Linked DNA regions of Drosophila melanogaster. The protein of the gene in region 4 interacts with the protein of the main gene of each other region in a pairwise test. Each region holds a gene or a part of one and is shown on either strand. Other genes may lie near its edges.

Region 1 (4,745 bases), on a different chromosome or scaffold from region 4:
CCTCCTGCTGTCCAGACTCTCGCCCAGATTGTGGCTTTGCCTGCGGAGAAACCAGCCAATGAAGCTGTTGCCGCTCCCAAAGCTGAGGAGCAGAAAAAAGACTCGTCTGGTCCAGCTAAGGTAGAGCCAGCGATTACTCCATCGGCACCACAACCAGTCACCACTGCTGAGCCACCCAAGAGTGCTCTCAAACAGGACTCACCTCCTAAGAGCGCTCCCAAGCAGGGATCCCCACCGAAGAATGTTCCAAAACAGGAATCACCACCACAGAGTGCTCCCAAACAGGATTCCCCACCAAAGGGTGCTCCCAAACAGGATTCCCCACCAAAGGGTGCTCCCAAACAGGATTCACCACCAAAGGGTGCCCCTAAACAGGATTCAGCGCCACAACAAAAGACTCCACCACCAGTTAAACAGGAAGTAGCACCAGCTAAGCAGGATGAACCACCAGCTAAGCAGGATGCACCACCAGCTAAACAGGATGCACCAGTTCCAGTTCCAGAAGTTATCAAAACGCTAGCACCGGAAGTCCCCAACGTTTCTCAGGCACCTGCACAACCTCAGGGTCAGGCTGCTCTCGCTTCTGAAAAACCAGCGGATGCGCCAAAGGCCATTGAGGAACCGAAGGCTGCACCCAAGAAGGAATCACCACCACCCACAAAACCAGTGACGGCAACAGTTCCGGTAGCACCTGCCACTCCTGCTGAGGCGCCATCTCCTCTGGCTCCCTCCACTCCGCCATCGACTCCCACCTCGGTGCCGCCCTCTGCAGCGACAGTGACTCCTCCATCTCCCGCCACGGTGACTCCTCCGTCGCCTGCTGTAGTTACTCCGCCTCAGAAACAGTCGGCGGCTCCCCAAGCGGGAATCAAGAAGCAGGAGGCAGGAACGAAGACAAAACAGCAGCAGCCAGCCAACAAGCCCCAACAACCGCAAAAGCAGCCACCAGGAGGAGCAGGAGGATCAGCTGGGCCAGGAGGGAACAAGGGCGTGCAGAAACAGCCGAACCCCAATGCCAAGCCAGCAGTTGCTCCAAAGCCGGCCCAGGCCACTCCAAAACCCGCTGCTGCTTCTCCAAAAGCATCCCCCAACCAGACGAATCCACAACAACAGCAGGGAAAAGCAGCTAACAAAGCGTCTCCTCCAAAGCAAACTGGACCAACTGGGGGGCAGCAGAAGTCGGCGGCGAACGCCTCGAAGGCCACAGCCTCCCCGAAATCGGCTGCATCCCCAAAAGCCACCTCCCCGAAGGCCGGAACTCCTACCAATCCTGCTTCCGCCTCTGGGGGTCCCAACTGATCCTCCTTCAGTCTATTTTCTAATCGGCGCCCTTGCATTTCAAACTCACTCGCATTTTCAGAGCCCATTTTCGCCTTCGTTAATCTCTGATGAACCCGGGTACTAACCGTTTTTTGATTATTTGTGGCCTTTACATTTTTGAATAAAATTATGATTTAACAAAGACTGAAGTGAATCGAGAAATTCTTTCTCAATATCTTTGGTTATTCCATTGCAATGTCACAACAAATTGTAGCCTATTAATCGTTCTCGAGAATAGCATTGAAAATTACGATTCTTTAATTTATTATTAACACATAACACATAGGGAATTTTTGAACGTGCAGCAGCATATGATACTTTGAATTTAGCGCCCCATTGGAGGCACTGCTTATCGATATTTTATCCAACTTTGCCCAGCCCTGGTTCGATAGGTCGGAAAGCCCTGCAATTTGCATGAAAGACACCCAAAATTACTTGTTTTTCGTTTATCCTGGGCTTAACTCGACTTAGCGTGGCTGCTAGAGGGCTTCTCCTCGTCCTTGGGCGCCTGCTCCTTCTCCGGGTTCAGCTTCCAGATGGCGTAGTTCAGAGCCGTCGCGAATCCCAGCCAGGCGACGTAGGGTACGAAGAGCAATCCAGCGGTCTTGTTCACTCGGTAGAACAGAACGCCGCAGGCGGACGCGGCGGCCGTGAGTGCAACTATGTCAATAAGGCCCTGGTGGATGAAGCGGATTAGACATAACACCTGGGCTTGGTGATATCAGCAGTACTCACGCCCTTGATGTTGTGCTGCCCGAAGAAAATGGGCGTCCACGCCCAGTTCAAGGCCAGCTGGGTGCCGTACGCGATCAGGGGCAGTTTGGCCGCCTCGCCGGCGAAGCCTCCGCCATCACGCCACACCAGGTAGGAGCCGTAGCCCATTCCCGCGTACAAGGAGATCCACATCGGCGCAAAGACCGAGTTGGGCGGCTTGAAGGACGGGAACTTAAGGTTGGCGTACCAGCTCTGGAGATGCTGCCTGGTCAGCCGCCCGTTATAGATGCCGCCCAGATTGGGCAGAATCACGGCCCCGGCGATGCGGAGAATGTTTCCAGCACACGGACGATCAGCCATTTTCAGAGTTCGCACTGCAAATGAGGCGCAGTAGTGGCGAACCTTCTGGTTTCACTGTTTTGTTTGCCGGTGATTTCATTCGAATGCACGAGTATTGCGAGTTAACGGGGCGAATACGCGACGGATGATTGTGTGGGTAAGCTCCAGCGATGCCAATTTGGCTAGATTTAAACTAGCTAAAGTATGTGGAATGCAACTTGAAATCAAAGACGCTAGAATTAATTAATAGAATCGCATGGTTATTTAGAGCTGTGAACATTTGATTTCTGCCATGAAGGAATTCTCATGTTTTTCTTTAACATGCTATCTGATTAATAGGGATTTAATATTTATCTGGAATTTTGGCAAAGCTGCAAAGTCATTGCTAAGCCGTTAATAGCTGGTTGTCACATGTGCAGGGGAGGAGCATAATGCTTATCAATAGATTCCAAAATGATGTAATGAATGAGTAATGTCGTCGATCTATGGAAGTAATTATTATAATTATATCTACCCATTCGTATTTATTTAAAATTATCTTCGCTGCTGGGTGTCGGAATCACCCTGTGGGTAGGCAGATTTAACAAAACCCGTTAAGTTTTGAAAATAGAAATAGAACTGTATTGTTGGGAAGTACCATATTAAATTCCCTGGAAAAGTTTTGTTTAGCTTGTTTGTTTGTTTTACCCCATGACAAATCGTGCGATCAAGTGGTGAATGATAACTTGAGAACTCATAAACCAAAGAGTTATTTGTCGGTAAAGTGAATTAATGGTGAAATAAAACTATTGTGCTTATTTGCTCTTTGCAATATCCAATAACCTGGATCAAGTTGGTATCTCAATTAATCAATTGCTTAGGAGCAACCATGACAACCGTTGCTAGGCAAACACATTGTTACTGTGTTTTGGCTCCTGCCAAAACAAATTCATCCACTAAAGGTGGAAAACCGGTGTGATGACTCTCTACTTTGACACGAAAATCGAGTTCTTGGACTCGGATGCAGTGAGCACCATCAGCAGCTGGCATCCCAGTGAGCCGCTCTTCGCAGTGGCCTCTTTTAGTCCCGAAAGAGGCGGTTCAGTGACCATCTTTGCAGATACCGTCAGTATTAATCGCTTTGGTCGCAGACCCTGCCAAAAATCGGAATGTATATAATCTATATAATCAAATTGCAGGGTGAGCCCCAGCGAGATGTAACTTATCCGGTGCACGCCACTTCGCAAGCGACGGCACTATGCTGGCATCCGGAGAAGGCGCTCCTGGCCAGCGGTTGGGAGCACGGCGACATCCATGTGTGGTTCGCTGGTCACAGGGAGTTTGCCAGCGTGAACGCACCGCACAAGGCGGCCATCGTCCTGCTGCAGTTCAGCGAGCAGGGCGGGCGGATGGTCACGGCGGATGCCATGGGCTTGGTCACCGGATGGCGCTGCGATGGCCAGTACCAGTTCCTAACCATGTTCTCCCACGACCTGCGGGAGGTGTTGCTGCTGATCTGCTTCCGCCTTACGGTGGAGAGTGAGGTGCGCGAGGAGATGGCCAATCTAGCCAAGGCTGCTGTGGCAGGCGATGAGAACGCCCTGGACACCCTAACCAATTGGAGACCGCGCACAGCAGCCCGGAGCATGACCCATTCGGGGGTGCGGGACAACCACTGCTTCTACGCTTGCACCCAAGGAGGAGTGGTGTACTACATCAACCAAGGAGGCGCCTGTGTCGAGGTGATGAAGTGCGGATCACTGCCTCCCATTGTCCAGATGTTGTGGCACCCAAGAAAGTAAAGAGCTGTTGAGATCGAAAGGTTCTTTACCTGAACCCTAACATTATTCCATTCTAGGGACGCCGTCATTTGCCTGATGGAGGACTTGACAGTCACCTTGTTTTTGGTTGAATCCACAGGCATCCTTACGGAGCTGGATCGTGTTAAAATGAGCGGACGTGGAGGCGGTCGGCAGGGAGGCATCGCGTGGTCTGGAAACTCTTTAGCCATCATAACAGGTAGGATATATTATTCGATTTTTCACTTCTGTGCTAAATTTAAGACTAATTTTCAGGCGATTTTTTCGTCCGCATTTGGGACATCGAGAGAAGCGACAATTACCTATTGAAAATGGACCTACCCAGTGGCAACCAGCCAGGCTCATCTATGACCACTTTAAGTAATGGCACCATGTCCTCGTCCAACCAATTCTTTAGCCATGACAGCAGCGAAAGCAGCGGCGTTCTCCGCAAGACACCAAAGTACGGCCAGCTGAACGGCGAAATGTTCACCTGCTTGGCATATAGCTCTACGGGACAGACTCTGTGTGCAGGAACGTCCCAGGGGAATGTCTATACTTGGAAGAGGAGCGGCAGCAGGCTAGTCGGTGCCC
Region 2 (5,781 bases), about 12 Mb from region 4:
TTTTGCTTGCATAAAACAGGCAATATTGCAATTGGGAATATAATTATTAAAATTTAGGTGCCTGGCAATTTCAACGTTACAAGAGCAATCATATAATTTCAAATCAGGACGGGAAAACAGTCAAAAACATGGACTGCGCACCACTGAACTTGGTAAGAACCCGAAGAAAACATCGAATTTACATGGTTTTAAATGGAATTACCTACCCAAATCAAAGGCTCATTTCCACGAGCGAAGGTCGGAGCGATTTATACGCAATCACCGCTATGAGGAGGCCATTAAAGCGCTGGAAACATCCCTAATCTACATGCAGGATGCCCAAAAACGGGTGGCTCTGCCCAAATCCAAGGAAGTTCTGGACACATTGACCCTCGATTTTCAGCGCAAACTGCGTCAAATTGAGATGCGAAAGACGCAGCATGGTCTGAACAAGCTGAAGGATTATGCTCCCTTGAAGGAAACCAGTCCCATGCTGCCCCTGCGACCAGAAGCCGGAGCAAGTGGAGGCGCAGGAGGATCCGCTCAGTCGGTGGCCAAGGCAATCGACAAAACAGTGCAGGACTTCGATGCCAAGTTCACCTCCTCCTTGGTGGCAAAGGCCTCTAGCACACTGGCCCATTCGGAGCCCCATATGGAGACGCTGAAGAAGAGCGATTCTGCCCAGGAGGAGCAGGAACACGATACTTGCGATCAGCGGCTGGCGGGCAGTGGAGACCTGGACCTGCCATCCTTGGCGCCCTTGGAGTTGCCCTCCTTCGATTACAGCCTGTTCACCAGCTCCTCGGCTCCTTCGTTGGCCAGCTATGCCGGCATGGCTGAGAGCTTCCAGAAATAGGCCTGGTTAAGATCCATTTGTAAAACTTCAACTAATTTGAAAGATCTCGTGGTAATGCAGTGCCCGCTGAGTGGTGATTAGGATTTAATTTTAGGCACGTTCTTCATTTCAACGTTTTGTGCAGTTCCCTTTGTGAAGTGTATTTGGGAATTCTCTAAATAAATTAAATTAGGTTAATTCACAATAATAATAATAATAATAATACTTTGTGTATTACAATCTAAGTCGTTTATTTGGCCATCAGACCCTTCAGCAGATCATCCATGTCGGTTTCGGTGTCGACATTCTTGAGCAGAAGCAGCACCTGTGCCTCCATCTCGCAGAGGATATCTGGTTTCTGGTAGGTAATGATCAGCGTGTTGAACTGGTGGTGGACAGAGAGGCTCTCCTGCGCGGGCTTGACCCCACAGCGGTCCAGTTCCGGGACCGGGATGACCTTGTAGTACTTCTTGTTCGAGGTGCGCACGACTATGGCACGCTTCTCGGGATCGGCGGTTACGCTGTATGTGTCCAGGGAGTAGGGCATGTTGCGGATGCGCCACTCAATGTTCTTCTTGGTGATCCGCTTGGTCAGCAGTGGCGCGGTGTTGCTCTCCCGCAGGGTGAAATCTCCGCCGGCCAGGGAGTCCGTTTCCTCGCCAGATCCTGGTGGCTTGTTGCCCGACCAGTTTAACTGACGCGGCTCATCGCCCAGCTCGATTTCCCACTCCGACTCGCCCATGATCTTGTTGCTCTTCGATTTCCAGGCCCGCCGCTGCACGATTCCCGTGTCCATGTTGTACTCCTCGGCCATTTGCCTGCCGTCCGGGAATTTGTAGAGCACCTTGCGGGCGCGGCCACTTATCATGGAGTTCTTCTCCGCCGCCTGCAGGTAGTTTAGCCAGTTCTGGTAGGACATCTCTGGGGATTGATGGGATTACCTAGGCACACGTCTCCGCCGGAGATTCGAATATAACAACTGAACGGGGCAGAAAATTTGATCGATGGCGCAAAGTTGAAAATTTGTTGAGAAGCACATTGCGATGGAAACCTGGCAACCCAGCTGCCAGCTTGTTTACATCGCAAGCCGGGTTACCAAGGCACTTTAAAGCATTACATACAATACCTTATGATCGATTTGTCTTGTAATATTTGGAGGTAATGGTTAATTTTAATGCAAAATACGTACTAATTCTTGCCATTTTTTTTACTTACTAATAAAATGATTTTGAAATTCGAATATTTTCCATGAATTCAGCTTTTTTCTGGCTACCCAATTTACAGTTGATTCCAGCGCGCGAGTTGGCAGCCCCGTGCGTACACAAAAAAACAGAGTTGACGTGGCCGGCGCAGTGACTACATAAAATATACGCATATTTCATCACGGCAGCGATTTAATTATTGCTATTTAAAGTAAGCAGCCAGTCACTCCGGCCGTAGTTTATAAATAGCCACTAGACCGTCCGTCCCGAATCCGTAGACTTAGCAGCTAATTTGGACGCATTTCTGCTTACAGGCGGCAGTCGAAAAAAGCGAAAATCCAAGAAGCGAAAATCGAACGAAAAAGGGAATTAATAAAACATTAAAAATGAGTTTGGTGTGGACTTTGATCGCCGGATTTCTCTATGCGGAAATCGCACTGGTCCTTCTGCTGGTGCTGCCGGTGCTCACTCCTTACCGCTGGAACCGGTTCTTCAAGTCCAAATTCCTATCGATGTTGGGACAACAGGCGCACATATATTTCCTGCTGATCATGGGAATTCTGGTCATTTTCCTCCTGGAGGCCATTCGCGAGATGCGCAAGTACTCCGGCTTGCAGCAGTCTAACGAGGTCCACTTGAACGTGGAGATGCAGCACAGCATGAAGCTGTTCCGTGCCCAGCGGAACTTCTACATCTCTGGATTCGCCATTTTCCTTGCCCTGGTCATCCGGCGACTGGTAAACTTGATCTGCACCCAGGCCAATCTCATGGCCCAGAGCGAGGCTTCCTTCAAGCAGGCACAGAGCGCCACTGCAGCCGCACGTTCCTTGCTGGAGAACAAGAACACCGAGAAGGCCAAGGAAGCCGGCGAGGATACCACTCTCATCGAGGTGAGTCCACGTCCCAAACCCCTGCATCCGATCCCCAGGAATGGCATGTCTAGAGAGCTAACACCTAAGACTTTGGAGTTCAATTGGCTACTACCAGCTGTAAAGATATGGCAATGCATATAGAAGGTGTGGTCAAAATATGGCGAGATAATGTCTTTAGCCGACTAAATCTATAAAATCTATACTTCATTCCACTTTCTGGTACATTTTCTCAATTGGTTTTGAATATAAGATACGAAAAGGCTTTAAATGTAGTCTATTAACGATATAGAACTTTAAATACCAGTATATATCATGATTAAAATCTTAAACGTAAACTTAAATCAGTTTGAAGACCGAGTGAATTTGTCATAGGCTTAGTGCTTTTGTTTTGACCGCAGCTAAACGTTTTGAAACCACACCCAAACACATATGTTGGGCCACGATAAACAGAAGCCACCACTCGAAAGTTTAAACCTCTTGTTAACTCTTTAAACAGCTGTCAAGACTGCGGAGACGTGTGCAAGGACTCACCGCCCGAGTGTCCTAAGTATCCCCACCTAGAGCACCCACCTTATATCCATTCCCAAACACCCAAAACGAACAAAAATCCAATCGAAACTCAAACGAAATCCGAATTTTGCAGCTCAACAAGCTGCGCGAGCGCGTCCAGGAGCTAACCTCCGACTTGAATCGCGAAAAGAAGGACAAGGAGGCGGTTAAGTCGCAGGCGGAGAGCATCAACCGCGAGTACGACCGACTCACCGAGGAGTACAGCAAGCTGCAGAAGAAGATAACCATCGGCGGAGGCGGAAACAAGGATGATTAAACTCACTGGAGCCAAGTCCAACATTTAAATAACGATAAGACTTATAAGCATGGCGGTGGGGCAGCGAAAGCAGGCACATTTAAAAGATTATAACGATTTCAAATCGATAGAAAGCACACACATCTTATTGTTAATCCTCATAGATACAACTACATATACCATTTGATAATGATAATGGGGTATATTGATAATGGTCCCTCAACTCAATGTTCGTTTCGTCCGAAGTTTTGTATTTAATTCGTATGTGTTAAGTTTTGTTTGCCACAGTAACACACCCAAAAAGCGTCGTGGCTATTAAAAGAACAACCAAAAAGTACCCATCCAGTTGTGATCGATTCGATGATTCATCTGTTGGCGCGGATAGTCCACATCATGTCTGATAGTACACGGCAATGACGTCAGACGTCGCAACCTGTTTGCATACTTGGAGCTTAGAAATCGGAGGCGTTACATTATCGGTGTGCGAAAAGGGCATCGAATATGTTTCCTTGATAATTACCCAGAAATGCTAATCAAATTCGCATATTTAGTGATCTATCGTGGTTTTGCAGTGCATACTTTAATCTTAACTTGAACAGAGATCATCCTACATAAATTTGCTGTTCAATAAACTGCATTAAAATGCTTACTCCCACCAGAAGCTTACAGAGAAGCTAGGAGCTTCAGATCTCACATAGTGCCACCATTTGGGTGGCATGTACAAACAGTCACCAGGTTGCAGGAGCAGCTGGTAGAACTTCACCTTGGCTACCAAGGGATATGTTTCAGGATCCAGTTGAGCAGCATCTATTCGCGCTGTATTGGCCAAAAACTCACTGTCGTGGGGATACAGATTGTCTGTGTCTGCAGGAGCAGCTAGGATGATCCTCTTCGAACCGAATACCTGGCACAGCAAGTTGTGCTTGGGATCGTAGTGCATGGGAGATACGGTTCCAGCTGGTCCCAGCCAGGCTTTGATGTCCACAGCTCCTGGGGTATCTTCGTTGCTGATGGTGCAGTAGTCGGGAATGGATATATCCTCTTTGAGGGCTGGTATCTGGGCGAAGAGCTCGTGCTGAGCGAGATACTCGATATTTTGGCCAGCCTTGCTTGGTTCCTTTCCGAATTGTCTGCTCAGGAAGTCGCGGATCTTCACCAGCTGCTGGGACCATTCATCGCTGGCATAGTTGGAACCTATTTCAATGGGCACCGTGCGATTCCCGGCCACTTGGAGAAGGTAATTGAGATCCAGCCATTTGTGCAGTGCAGGCCAATGCTGGATGGTGTTGAGCAGGAGTGTGGGTTGTCCTGCCTCAAAGCACTTTGTCTGGAACTCTTCTAGACTGGGAGCGTCCAGTTGGGGTATATCACAGTTGGAGGTTACTCGGGTTAATGGCTCTAGAGTTGGAAGTGGTGCGGAATTCAGTGCTACTGCTCCATCCTTGTCGAGATAATCCATTAGGGCGACTTTCAGTTCACTCCAATCCTCCATGCAACCCAAAAGTTGAGCCTCATCGAGGATCTCACTGCACGCATCCTTCTGGGCGGGACTAGTGCTCTCCAAGAGAAGGAAAAAAATCTAAAATGTATATTTGTAGTTTGTATGGCTTAGTTAGCATCTAAATCCCACCTTGAAGCAACAGGCTATGGCGTATATCTTCCTCGTGACCAAGGGAACCTGGCTGAAGTGCCCTGTGTGAATGCGTTCCCAGTTCCTGTCCACCAGCGCACCTACCAGATATCCGGTTTCCTCCGCCCCGGAATCTCCGCCAGACCTCAAGTTCGCCAGGTGATCCGCGGCTCTTTTGAGTATGTAGCGCGCCTCGACTTCACCACGGACCACATTTTCCAGATCCACCCAGCGGGGCAGCAGCTGCGTCAGCTCCAGGAACTCACTATCCATAGAATGTTAAACAACTATTATTTGTTTACCTTTTAGCTTACATTCAGCGTTGCCAGAGTTCATTTGTAAGCATTAAATATTTCGATTAATCGATGTTTTAAAATATATTTAAAAATTGATGAGTTGTTCAGTACTTCAAACATGTATTGCTTAAGGATGCCTTTAGTAAATTATAAATAGTAGCT
Region 3 (5,250 bases), 8.2 Mb from region 4:
CACATGGTTCTATTTTGTCCATACTATCTGTGCACTTTCTGTTAGCATAAATTAGGGTTACATTTGAGGAAGAAAAAACCAATTGGGCCTGAAGCCACACTAGCGGCCATGCTCCCAGTTCTGAGGTTTAGTTTTGTGTAATCGGATGATAATCGCTTTAATTTAAACAAACGCGGAAGCCAAAGGGATGGCAACTTCTGTTTTTCCGAAAAAGTACAACTATCCAATTCCGTTTTCAAAATGTATCGTTGGAACCAGGAAAACGCATATACATATTACGCAATATTTTGTAATTTCTTATTTTAAAAACTTAATTTGTAACGTTACACATCGCTCGGTGTTAATCAAATGATGCCTGTCCGAATGGTAAATTACGTTTGGGTCAAACAACAGGCTTTAAAACACTAAATATTTTGTTACACATTTTTGTACTTCTTGTCAAAGCTTTAATTTTCAAACGTACACATTTTTGTACTTCTTGTCAAAGCTTTAATTTTCAAACGTACACAGTGCTCGGCCTTTGGCAGCTGGTATTGCCCCCATCGCAAGGTATAATTAATTGTAAATATGTTATATTTAATTTGAAATAGCTGATAAAAATGCCGGCCTGGCCGCTGTTTATCTTATACGATTGTACCCAACAAACAAGGGCCAAGCTACCCAACAAAAGACTCTAATAATGCATACATAGTATGGGTAGGGGTACTGTTCTCTATCCTTGTTTCAGGGTATTTCGCAATGGTTTGTCCATTCACAAAACGAAGTGAGAAATAAAGAACACATTCATGTGAACTGTGAAGCCCTTAACAATCGTTTGTGAGAATATTAACTTACTAGAATACATTAACTTTTACGAAAATGGCAAACAATTATTTGAATACTAAATTATCGTATGTACAAATCGATAACTAACGTAAGTAGTGAAGGAAATTTAATGAAGGGAATGCGCAGAGAACCAAATTTGTAATTGAAACAAAACCATAACTAGGCACCGCACAATAAATAAATAATTTAAATCCGTTAAGGATCTGGGTGGAGTCTTCAAGGAGCTTGTAGGCAAAACCTCGAGGTGCTCCGCCCGGCATAATCTTAAATCAAACCTAAGGGAATTTAGCCAATTTATAGAAAGTAGCACTCGGCAAAATTTTTAGAATCCAATTATCGTCTAAGTCGAAATTTATTGTCTAAACCGATATGCTATCCCCACCCCGTATGTACCGATAAACAAAAAACTACACAAAGCATTTTTGCGCTTAATTAAACAGTTTCTTTCAATTCAAACCTGTTATTATGTAAACTTTTTATTATTACATTGTATAGACATCGTATCGCATAAGTGTGTATATGTGAGTGTGTGTATGTACTTTTGGATATGGATTAGCTGTTGACTATAAAGAAACCTTAAATGCTATAAACGCAAAGAAAAAAAACCAAAAGTCTTGAAGGCATTTAACGGGGAAACTCAATTTACAGCGTAACTATATACTACGTCTATATAGCCAGCCTCGTATTCTGATTGCATTACATGATCTCCAAGCTGGAGTCACTATTCTTGGTGACCACCTCTGTCTCCGACGAGCCAGACCCGGATCCAGCATCATCGCCCTTCTCGTTGTCGTCCGACCCGCTGTGCCGGTGATGGTGATGCGGTGAGCCGGCCAATTGCCAGGCGGGAATGGATGGCACTGCGATCGGAGCCACAGGGCCGGCGAACTGTTTTCGGTTCAAAAGCAGGCCCTTAATGGCATCCAGATCGCTACGGAAGTTACTAAATTCGCGGTTCAGCTGCTGGGCGTGTTCCCTTTGCTGTGTGGTGATCAGATCCCTGACCGCCAAAATCTCCTTGTTGAGGTCGTTGGTGCGGGTCTCTACCTTCTTGTCTATGTCGTCCAGGACTTCATCGACCGCCTTCTTCTTGGACTTGCCGAACAGGTAGGGCGCAATGTATTGCTGAAATTATACGGGTTTTAGAAGTTATTAGCAATCATGGACTTTGGACTGGTGGACCACTTAAAACTTATTTATGCGTCCTAACACTTTTACAAAATGTGTTAAATACTAAGTAAATTCAACGTCGTCTGGTAAAAGTGTCATCAAATATATGTGTAATGTATCTAAGCCTTAGACAAGATGGCGATCTTTAAATTCGCACTCGAGTTGGTGGAGTAAATATAATAAATCTTTTTAAAAGACCCCGAAATAGAGATCCCACTGCATCTCACCTTCCAGAAGATGTAGACTGCGTAGACGACTCCGCTGAACAGGGCTGCCGAATGGATGATTTCCCTGATCCGGCCCAAGACAGTCGGCTGCGGCTGCAGCGCGTGCAATTGGGATCCAATGCTAATGACGGTGTTCGGATTCGGATTGGGCTTGTTGGGGTCTTGGGTGAAAACGCCGGCCCGTTCACAGGCCAGCTGAATTTCGTGAGCGGTGAGACCTTTGGACCGTAGGAACTGCTGCTTCTGGATAAGTGTCGTGTGGCGCACCTTGGTGTTTTGTAGAAAACTGACTGCAGTGGTTATCTGCGGCGAATAGTCGGATTATAGATTAGGCAAACTTGAAGGGGTTGAACAAATATTACCAGCGATTCTCGAGGCAATTGCTCATCTACGCCGGCCTCGACATCGTTCTGCACCGAGGTAGCCGTCGCCATGACGGTGGTGTCCCCAGTGTCCGTGTTGTTGCTGGACATCTGTATATCGACTCTTAATTCAATCTTGCCTAGCTAATACACACGAAAACGGAGTGAATCCGAATTCACGAGCAATTCGATTACAAAGTGCACAAAAACAAAAGTGTGACCAAAGACTTTGCTGCTCTCGAAATTACTAATGCATTAGCGTTTCTAGGGTTATTATGTATAACGTTAAGGTAATTTGTAACGTAATAAAGATTTGAACTTGGAAAAATGTTTTTACCGAAAAATTTGGTAAGAAATGTTTCTATTATAAAGAACATAGTACCTGGGCTAAAATTTTAAATGCATAATATACCCAATAAAAATATACTGCAGTATAAAGAATCAGGAAACTTGAATTAAGATGCCGAGACTAAACAAGCAAATCTTTACATTGAAGAACATTAAAAGGGGCTATGAAAGGTTGGTGGCAGATATGCCAAATGTGGTTCTTACAAATTGTGGGTCCTTAATTATTAGTTTCTTTTTCTATGACGTGTAAGCACCAATGTGGTAAAATTTGAAAGTGTAATGGCGATAAGCTCGTGACACTGGTATTTGGTATTTATTTTTGTACCAATTTTATTAATCCAAAGCGTTTAATCAACGCTCTCCGTGCTTGCATTCATATATGTATTCATTTTGCGTCACCTTCTATTTTGTGTTGCATGAAAGCACTAACGCCTTGTTCAAAACGCCAGAACACCACAACTGCACCGATTTGATTACCTGTAGACCGAAACACCTCATTATTTTTATTATTTGGAGGAACAGACAATATTTTCCGGATATAATGGACACTCTGAAGGGCATGCTGAAGGCGTACGAGGCGTGGGTGGGCAAAAACCCCGACGTGGTGGGGGATTTTGAGACCACAGCCAAGTGGGTATCCTACTTTATAGCAGGTAAAGTGAACTCCTTGCTTACATAGAGCCTACAGACTCATCTCATTGGCCGGCTTCCAGGTCGCATTTCCTCATCAAATGTGGTCAGTGAGCTGGTATATACACTGTCAAACATGCTGGTGTTCTACAACGACCGGATCATCGAAAAGGCACGCAATTCCGAGGAGAATTCGGTGATCCACCTGCAATCGAAACTTTGCTACCGTCTAAAGGTCACGTTGACGACGCTCGAATATAGCGAGGTTTTCATCGAGATATCAGCCCGTCGGCTTTTCGGTCAATCCGGCAAGTGGCTGGTGATAGCGCTAATACAGGCCTTCAAGGCAGCGGGCCGTTTCTTTATCTTGAAACACTCAACCTCGGATATAATCACCTCACCGCCCATCGCCGCACTGAATCGAAGGGCCAAACAGAGGAAGAATTCGGGGGATGGTGTGGCCTCCTCCACGAACGATTTATTGCAGTCCCAGCACTCCATTACCTTCCAATTGAAGCGATCTGGCCGTGTGATTCGTAAAGTGGAGGGTGCTCCTCCCCTGCAATACCGCGACTTCAAGCTTCATATAGACAACAATGAAGCGGCGAAGACGCAAATTCCGAGGAAACTCCTGCAAGCAGAATACCTGTATATATCGAAGCCACTAATCCACCTGGTCGCCATGGGGCTGTTCGGCCGGAGAAGTTGGAAGCAATATATGGTAGCATTATCCATTGATTTGTATAGCATTCACCTCTACCGCCAGCATCGCGACCTAATGTCCAAGCAACAAAAACTGGAGCTGAGCAGGCGATGCATAAACATCATGTACTTCCTGGTCCGATCGCCGTTCTATGACAGCTTCACCAAATCCAGACTGGAGCGGATCCTCGACTTTGTGGCCACAAGTGTGCCCATTGCTAAGGTGGTTGCCAAACCCCTTAAAGATTACATTCCCACGTGGCAAAGCACTTACTTCTATCTGTGGTCCACTTAGGCATTTCAGGTAGAGCGTTAGTATTCCCCTAGGCTAAGTTTTAAAGTTACAGGTGTGGACGCATTCGGAGTGTTGAGGGTGGGTTGAGTTTTGGTCCTTGAAAAGTTGTTTGCACAATAAAACGATGGAGTAATTTTCGATATGTTTATAGCCAACTTTCATATTCCTTGAATTGACCCACCCACATGGCATTGCCGCTCTTGAGGTGAAAAATGATTATACATCCCAATTGCTTTGTATGGCTTTTTAAATTATATATGGAACAATATTTATACACATACAATTAAACGAAATTTTCCACTTACATCGCTAACTATACATAACAATTAATCGTAATCGTAATGGGCTAAAACACACAGAATCAGAACTTCAGACTGAATCCCGGTCCCATGGCCAACTGGCGCTGCGTTATTCCAGCGTTCAGGACAAATCCCGTGCTAGCCGACGATCCACCAGCTCCGTGGCTCTTCTTGTTGCCAGTGATAATCCCAGATGAGAGCTTGTTTCCCGGTCCCACGATGATGGGCTCGTCGCGGCCTAGTTGCTTGAACTGCGAGCCACCGGATGGCGGTTTGGGGGAAGAGGCTTGCGCCTTGCGGGCTCCCAACTCGCTCTTGGCCGGCCAGGTGGGAAACATGGATGGATCGATGGGCAATGGCAGCTCCTTGAAGAAGCCGTGCTTTAGTGCCGC
Region 4 (7,094 bases):
TTGGGATCGACCAGCTTCACTCCGTTGTCCGGCTCCGGATTGTGCGATGCCGTGATCATCACACCGATGACGGAGCCTCCGCGATACCGGGAACGCAGGGTGGCCAGAACGCCCATGCGGAACATCACGCTGTCCAGGAACTCAGCCCTAAAAAAAAAATGCGGAGTTATTACATCAGGATTTTGTTTAGATACAAAAGTATCTTTTAGCTTGTATTTTGGAGTTGGAAAATGTTTTGTACCTAATGTTGTTTGTTTATATGTGTGTTATCACTTTAGCTATCTATTTTATCTTCGCTGGATTGATAAGCCTATAGAAGCACTGTGTATTGCTCATTTTAGGCGTTGCAATTGCTTTTATCAGTAGGTGTGTCATGGAAACTTTGTTATCTGGCTGTAAAGTGGTTAGAAAATAAGGGCGCGGAAACCACAAACTATGTAATCAAATACTTAGTTGGTTCATTTTTCACAAATAACAAGTTATTAATCATTGAGATTTGAAAATATTGCAACTTGCACATGTGGCACTAGTTCGCTGCCCGCGACTGTGCGTCAGTATGTATGCACATATGCACATGCACGCACACTTACGCACATACAGGCAGACATAACGGCGAAAGAAGGGCATGTCCATTGATAAAAGGTGAACAATATCTAAAAATAAACGCCAAATTCCAACATCACAGCCCTGCAACCGCCCATTTATCAAAAAAAAAAAAAAACCACCAACAATCGCCGTGTGCTAATCAAATGCGCCAACGTGTGCATCGTGTGGGTGTGTTAGCATAATGATTATGATGATTATTAAGATCGTTAATGGAGGCAACTACTCACTTGCCGCGAAAGCCAGCTGTTCCATATTGGATGGTCTCCTTGGAGGTCTTTGGGTACATCTCGCGGGCGAAGGCGTAGACGGTGCGCAGGTTAATAGACATCTTGCGATACTCGAGGGCGGTGCCACTGGTCCAGAGCGAGGTGAAAGGTTCCGTCCGGTTTTTCCGGACTTTCGAAATTTAACAATTCCACAGATGTGTGCAGGCGGGTGTGACCGTCGTTTCGCGGCACTGTTCCACCCTTGCTTATGCGGCCAAGCGGTCACACTGCGCTGAAACTTGTAACTACGCTATTTTCTTTAATTTCAAACATTTTACTGGCTTTATAAACAATACAGAGTGTTTTAAGGTTAAATGCAATATTTACCAGCGTAAATTTCAATAACATCTATGTTTCAAAGCGATGTTAGCGCACATATTCAATTTGAATTTGGCGGCTACAATTGCGGTCAAGATATTAGGATTCTTCAAATGATACTAATTCAAAATAAGCAAAATAACTCCTTTATCTAGTTATTTTATTTGTATACTTACATAAGCGGTTGTAAAAGATTCGGCTTACATCTCCTAGGTACATTTTTTGGACGGTCTTAGTTGGTATGTACACAAACAAATACTATAATAAGGCACAGGACTTTATAAATTATAAACTATAGCCTTCAACAGATATTTTTCGGCTAGTTAGAGTTTCATTTTCGGACGGAAGGGATTTCACATTTAACTTAATCATATTTGGAATGTAAAAATGTTGATATGTTTTCTCTTTGTGCTAGAGATGCTTGTAGAATTCTGAAATCTAAGTGAGTCTAGTGGCTTAGAGCATTGCAACCAGCGAACCCACGAGGAGCAGGCCCACGGATAATGCCAACTGGGAGGCACCAGCATAGCAGTCGGTGATGCGGCGTGCTCGCATAAAATCGCTGCCCAAATAGGCATCATACCTGCGCTTATTGGGCGGAATTACTTGCAGCTGCCGCGTGGCGTCCTGGAAGATCAGATCATAGTGCCCGATCGGCGAGGAGAACATGCTGAAACTGAAGGCGTCCACTTCCTTGCGACCGTACAGTTGTTGGGCATAGGTCAGCAGATTGATGTAGGCATTCATCTGGGTCTCGTTGTAGTTGACTCCGCCGCGGGTGACCACAGCATTGGCCTTAACCTTGCCCAGATTGCAGCGCTTGTAGTCCTGGATCTCGGCACGAGTACCATCCGTGCAGAGCAGCTCAAAGTCATCGTTTAGGGCATTCCTGGCCCACCATTCCTTGCGTTTGCCGCCCGTGCTTTCCATCACCGTGGTGTGCTTCATGAAGGCCACGTGACCGCCGCCCTCGACGAGGCAACGGAATGCACCCGTGTGCCCGTAGTATTCCTCGGAGGCATCGCGACGACAATAGCGATAGCTAGTTCCATGACACAGATCGCACATGCTGTCGTAGGGCACACCGGTGTTGTACTCATTGCTAATGGCACCCGGCACGCACGACTTGGTGAAGTACTCCGCGGCAGCTCGAACCGAATCGCATCCGTAGGGACGAATCCAGCCGTTCGAGATGAAAAGCGCCATCGGATATGTCCAGCCAGCGGCGGTGTTAATGCCCGTATGGCAGGTATTCTTACCCTTCAGGTAAGTTAGCTCCGTATCGGGATCATCCTCCTTGGCCACGGCAACCACATAATACTCGGGCTCGCCCAGATTGTACACCTCCGACATGAAGGGCACCAGGTCGTAGTTGAGGCCACCAGTGTAGACATCGCCGGCATCGAAAACGGAGATGTCTGCTTTGCCCGCTTCGATGAACTGCATGCAGTTGATGTGGGAGTGCATTTTCTTGCAGATGAGTTCTGGTTTCAGGAGGTGAGCTTTCAAGGCAGTCTAAAAGTGTTTTTGTAAAGGATCATCAACTCATCTTGCTATCCATATATTCACTCTTCAACTCACCCTCATCTTGATGCATTTATCAAGCTCATTCTCCGAAGTCACGCAAAGCGTCATCGCTGGAACTGGACACTCACGGATGCCGTAGATAAAGTTAATGGCAGGGCCTAGGTACTTGGTAAATGACTGATCATCTTCGGGAATCACGGTTAGAGCGCGACTAGAATCCTGTCACAAAACAATTGAATGTTAAGTATGTATTTCGGATCACGGAAAATATGATCCACTTACCTGGAACAGCAAATTTGGCTTGCCATAGCGCTTCGACTCGAAGATGCGGAACTTCTCATAGAGTATGGAAGTGTTCGTGCCGTCCTGCTGGTTTCTTTCCTCTGCAAAACTGCTGTCCAATCGTTCGCTGCGATACTGATCGTATTGATTCTGCGTTCTGTACGGATCATTATTATCGAACTGGCCATAGGCATTCTGATCGTTGATGTTGTTGCGGCTGTTGAAGCTTTGTCCTCCCTGCCTGCTCTGATCATCACGTGTGCCATCGGAGTACAGCTCGGCAATGCGCTTCAAAAACTGCTGATACTGCTTGCGATCGCTGAAGCTGCGAGCCGAAGATGTGACAATGGCATCGGCGGGCACTTGGCCCCAATTACACTGGCGATAATCGTTGATGGAGGCACGACGACCATCACGACACAGCAGCTCAAAAGTGTCGGGTGCTATGTTCTCTAAAAAACGCAGCTTAGATCAGTAATGGGTTTTCAGAAGTTTCCCTTTGGTAACTCACTGAATTCGGTGGTTTGCAGCATTTCATTCACAGTCGAATGGCGCAAGAAGGCAACATCTCCTTTTTCAAGCAGACATTTGAAGGCGCCTTCGTAGCCGAAGTAGGGATCTGCAGATGAGCAGCGTCCTCCGGGTATCTTTCCAGTGCAAAGCGTACAAAGTCTGGTTTGAAAATTGATTTGTTGTTAGTTAATGTGTGTAAAATTGTGGCTTTTATGCGTCATTACTTATCGGAGTTGTCGCCAATTGGATTGTGTTTGTCGGAAAGCGAGTACACAGCACACGAATTATTGAAATAGCTGGCGGCCGTCTTCACCTGGTTGTTGCAGTCCACCACTTCCATGCCGCCCTCCCTTTGGAGCTGCAAAACGATAAAATTTGTTTGTTAGTTGCCTAATGAAACAAATAAACAATCAACTTAAAAGAGGAGTTCTACTCACCGTGTGAATGGGCACAATCCAACCGGCCAAGCTGCCCACCCAGGGGAAGCACACCCTCTTGTTGCGCATGTCGCGCAGATTGTTCAAGTCTGGTAGAGATCCCTTCTTGATCACGGCTACGGATTGATAGTCCGCAAAGCCGCCCTCCAGTTTCTCCTGCATAATGGGTATGAGGGAGTTGTACCGTCCAGCAGTGAAGACATCGCCCGCATCCAGCGTGGTGATGTGTGCCTTCTCGCGATCAATGTGATGGATGCACTCATCCGCACTGTAGGCCATGAAGCAGGTGAGATTGAGGAACACCTCGTCGAATAGTGCCCGATCCCGCTCGATGGCCACCGTAAGGTTCTGGCATTTGTACTGCTCCGCCTGGCTCTTGGTGCACCACACCATCCGTGTGGTCTTGTGCTCATCGTAGTGATGTTGTGCTGCAAAATCGTGGTTTTAACTCATGCCAACGCCCTAGAAATGGGCGACTTTCGTATTCCAGCCGCAACTTACCGTTAGCGAGCGTAAAACATAAGGCGCCGACTAGAGCCACAAAAACGAGGCTGCTAGCCATATTCGGGATATAAGAATATTAATAAGTGTATTAACTAAAAAGATCTATCTGCAAAAACAATTACTCAAACAAAACACCACACCCAAGCCCAGCTCAAGGAAGCCAGTGTAACCAGAGCGGGCAGAAATAGACATGATTTCAAAAAATACCAACAGGTACACACAGTGGAGAATGCTTAAGTGAGATATGAATCAAGAAACATATTTAGCATTCAGGATATTTCTAGTTTAATCTATACCTATATCTATTTTTATTATATATACAGTAATCTTGTTTATTTATATTTTACTTTCTATCAGGTTATCTCTTCTGTAGTATTTACTGCACTTCACCGGTGACCACAGTAGTGTGACCACACACTTGGCGTTTTCTAGCATCTTACGGTCAACCAGGTGTTTTGTGTTTTATAATAACAAACCGAAAAGTCAGCTAAAATATTCCATATTTTAGCTAAATGGCAGTCCTGCGTGGTTGGAGATTCGTTGGATTCGTGTCCTGCATCGTGGGCGCCGTGGGCCTCACCCTATACCCCGTCATTGTGGACCCCATGGTTAACACTGAGAAATACAAAACCCTGCAGGAATACAGCAAAATCAAGAGAGATGAACTGCAGCACATTAAAAGGCAGTAGAACCCCCTGTTATGCTACACTTAAGAACCCAAATATGTGTATTCTAGTTTGCCTGATAAAGAACTGCAATGTACAAATTGCTATTAAAATAGAAACTATTTGTACCCTGACAGCATGAACTCCATGAATTAAACTGTTACCTATACATGCAGGAAAATCCAAATGATTGTGCTTGAATGTTTATACTCTCATTGTTTTAAATAGTAAACCTAACGTAAAAGGCAATTCAAAACATTAATTTTGATTGCACTTGGATTCCGGAACTGGTTCCCCTTGCCGGTGCATCGAAAGCTTTAGGGGATTTCTCACCACTGCGTTGCCGCTTGTAAAATTCTTTATCTCGAATCATACGTGGACATAAATATCTGGATATTAAACACCTGCTGATTTACCACAAAATTTAAATGCAAAATGACCACCGCCGCATTGAAGCGTGATGAAATCCTGCTGCTCTTCGACGTGGACGGCACGTTAACGATGCCCAGATCCGTGGTCACTCCGGAGTTCGAGGAGTTCTTCTACTCGCGGGTTAAGCCGAGGGCGACCATCGGAATCGTCGGAGGCTCGGATCTGGAGAAGATGTTCGAGCAGCTGAATGGCAGGAAGATACTCAACGAGTTCGACTTCATATTCCCGGAAAATGGGCTGGTGCAGATTGAGGGCGGAAAGGAGGTGGGAAAGCAGAATATCATCATGCATTTGGGCGAGGAGACGGTGAAGCGTTTCATCAACTTTGTGCTGCGCTATCTGTCCGAACTGGATGTGCCCATCAAGAGGGGCACCTTTATCGAATTCCGGAATGGCATGATGAACGTTTGTCCCATTGGCAGGCAGTGCACTCGGGAGGAGCGCAACATGTTCGCCGAGTACGACATTGAGCACAAGGTGCGCGAGAAAATGATCAAGGACCTGAAGCAGGAGTTTGCCGATGTGGATCTCACGTACTCGATTGGTGGTCAGATCAGCTTCGATGTCTTCCCGCATGGTTGGGACAAGACCTACTGCCTGCGACACATCGAAGCGCACTACAAGTTCAAGGAAATCCACTTCTTTGGCGATAAAACGGAGCCGGGCGGCAATGACTATGAGATCTATAGCGATCCTCGAACCATCAGCCATAGGGTATATACTCCCAAGGATACGCAACGCATTCTCACCGAGATTCTGGAGCTGTGAGAATTTCGAGCTTACTCAGCAGTTGAAAATATTCCATTTTTATACATGTGTACAATTGTTAACCAAATTTAATATATAGTCACTGGAAATTCTTAATCCGTGTCCATGTCCGAGCTGCTGCTGGAGATATCCTCCTCGCTGCCACTGCACTCCTCGTCGGAGCTGCTGCTGTCGCTATCCTCCCATTCGTGGCCCTTCAAGCTATTGGGGATTAGCACCTTCCATTCCAGTTTGTGCAAGTCCAGGGCGTAGAAATCGTTGTAGGTCAACTGCTTGTCGTCCTCTTCGAAGATGCCACCGAAAATATACAGCGTTCCCTTGCACACGCACATGCCGGGATTCATGCGCGGAGATGGCACATTCGTCGGCTTGGGTTTGGCGAATAGGCTGGGTATTTTGGACACGAATGGCGTGGTACTGGTACTGGGACCGCCAACGGTGACCGTGAAAATGCCATCCGTGGTGGTGGTCACTGGCTTATCAACAGCCGACATCTCCACATCTTTGCTCTCCTCCGAATCCTTTTTCTCAGCGCTGCTGCTTTTAGTTTGGATCTCCTGCAATCTCCATGTTTGGGAGGTCAAATCGAAGGCCAGGAGATCATCGCCGAACTGTCCGTGCACATCTTCGTCGTCCTCATCGACGTCCATAACGCCACCGAAGGTATAGGCCTTGCCATTCGCAGCCACAGTGCAGCCGACGCTGCTACGCGGCTTGGGCTTATATCCACCTGGTTTCACGGGTGCCCACTTGTACTTGTTGTCTGCATCGCCGGC

What was found.
Region 1: the proteins of Tsf2 (region 4) and Tspo interact in a two-hybrid assay, tested with the Drosophila melanogaster proteins (one large-scale study listed by BioGRID).
Region 2: the proteins of Tsf2 (region 4) and CG13887 interact in a two-hybrid assay, tested with the Drosophila melanogaster proteins (one large-scale study listed by BioGRID).
Region 3: the proteins of Tsf2 (region 4) and Pex14 interact in a two-hybrid assay, tested with the Drosophila melanogaster proteins (one large-scale study listed by BioGRID).

The regions. Positions count from the first base shown.
Region 1 is NT_033779.5:557,348-562,092, reverse strand, and holds Tspo (translocator protein), read right to left. Parts: upstream 2,482-4,745; 5' UTR 2,395-2,481; coding exon 2,056-2,394; exon of another isoform or gene 1,997-2,055; coding exon 1,778-1,996; 3' UTR 1,570-1,777; downstream 1-1,569. Other genes in the region: uncNacbeta (putative nascent polypeptide-associated complex beta subunit), read left to right, coding at 1-1,299; rempA (reduced mechanoreceptor potential A), read left to right, coding at 3,331-3,477, 3,552-4,150, 4,211-4,371, 4,428-4,745.
Region 2 is NT_037436.4:835,719-841,499, forward strand, and holds CG13887 (uncharacterized protein), read left to right. Parts: upstream 1-2,142; 5' UTR 2,143-2,402; coding exon 2,403-2,906; intron 2,907-3,384; coding exon of another isoform or gene 3,385-3,435; exon of another isoform or gene 3,436-3,531; coding exon 3,532-3,714; 3' UTR 3,715-4,213; downstream 4,214-5,781. Other genes in the region: CG42554 (uncharacterized protein), read left to right, coding at 129-152, 218-835; CG13901 (uncharacterized protein), read right to left, coding at 1,065-1,733; JMJD5 (jumonji domain containing 5), read right to left, coding at 4,340-5,272, 5,324-5,596.
Region 3 is NT_037436.4:20,776,378-20,781,627, reverse strand, and holds Pex14 (peroxin 14), read right to left. Parts: upstream 2,830-5,250; 5' UTR 2,696-2,829; coding exon 2,585-2,695; intron 2,526-2,584; coding exon 2,223-2,525; intron 1,951-2,222; coding exon 1,522-1,950; 3' UTR 1,250-1,521; downstream 1-1,249. Other genes in the region: Pex16 (peroxin 16), read left to right, coding at 3,474-3,585, 3,646-4,559; pitslre, read right to left, coding at 4,921-5,250.
Region 4 is NT_037436.4:12,529,102-12,536,195, forward strand, and holds Tsf2 (transferrin 2), read right to left. Parts: upstream 4,624-7,094; 5' UTR 4,512-4,623; coding exon 4,451-4,511; intron 4,378-4,450; coding exon 3,950-4,377; intron 3,871-3,949; coding exon 3,737-3,870; intron 3,672-3,736; coding exon 3,511-3,671; intron 3,452-3,510; coding exon 3,000-3,451; intron 2,937-2,999; coding exon 2,772-2,936; intron 2,706-2,771; coding exon 1,647-2,705; 3' UTR 1,335-1,646; downstream 1-1,334. Other genes in the region: nst (nesthocker), read right to left, coding at 1-147, 834-934; CG34242 (uncharacterized protein), read left to right, coding at 4,966-5,142; Pmm2 (phosphomannomutase type 2), read left to right, coding at 5,554-6,318; CG4069 (uncharacterized protein), read right to left, coding at 6,411-7,094. UniProt on the Drosophila melanogaster protein: Iron-binding protein and component of septate junctions that form the paracellular permeability barrier in epithelial tissues.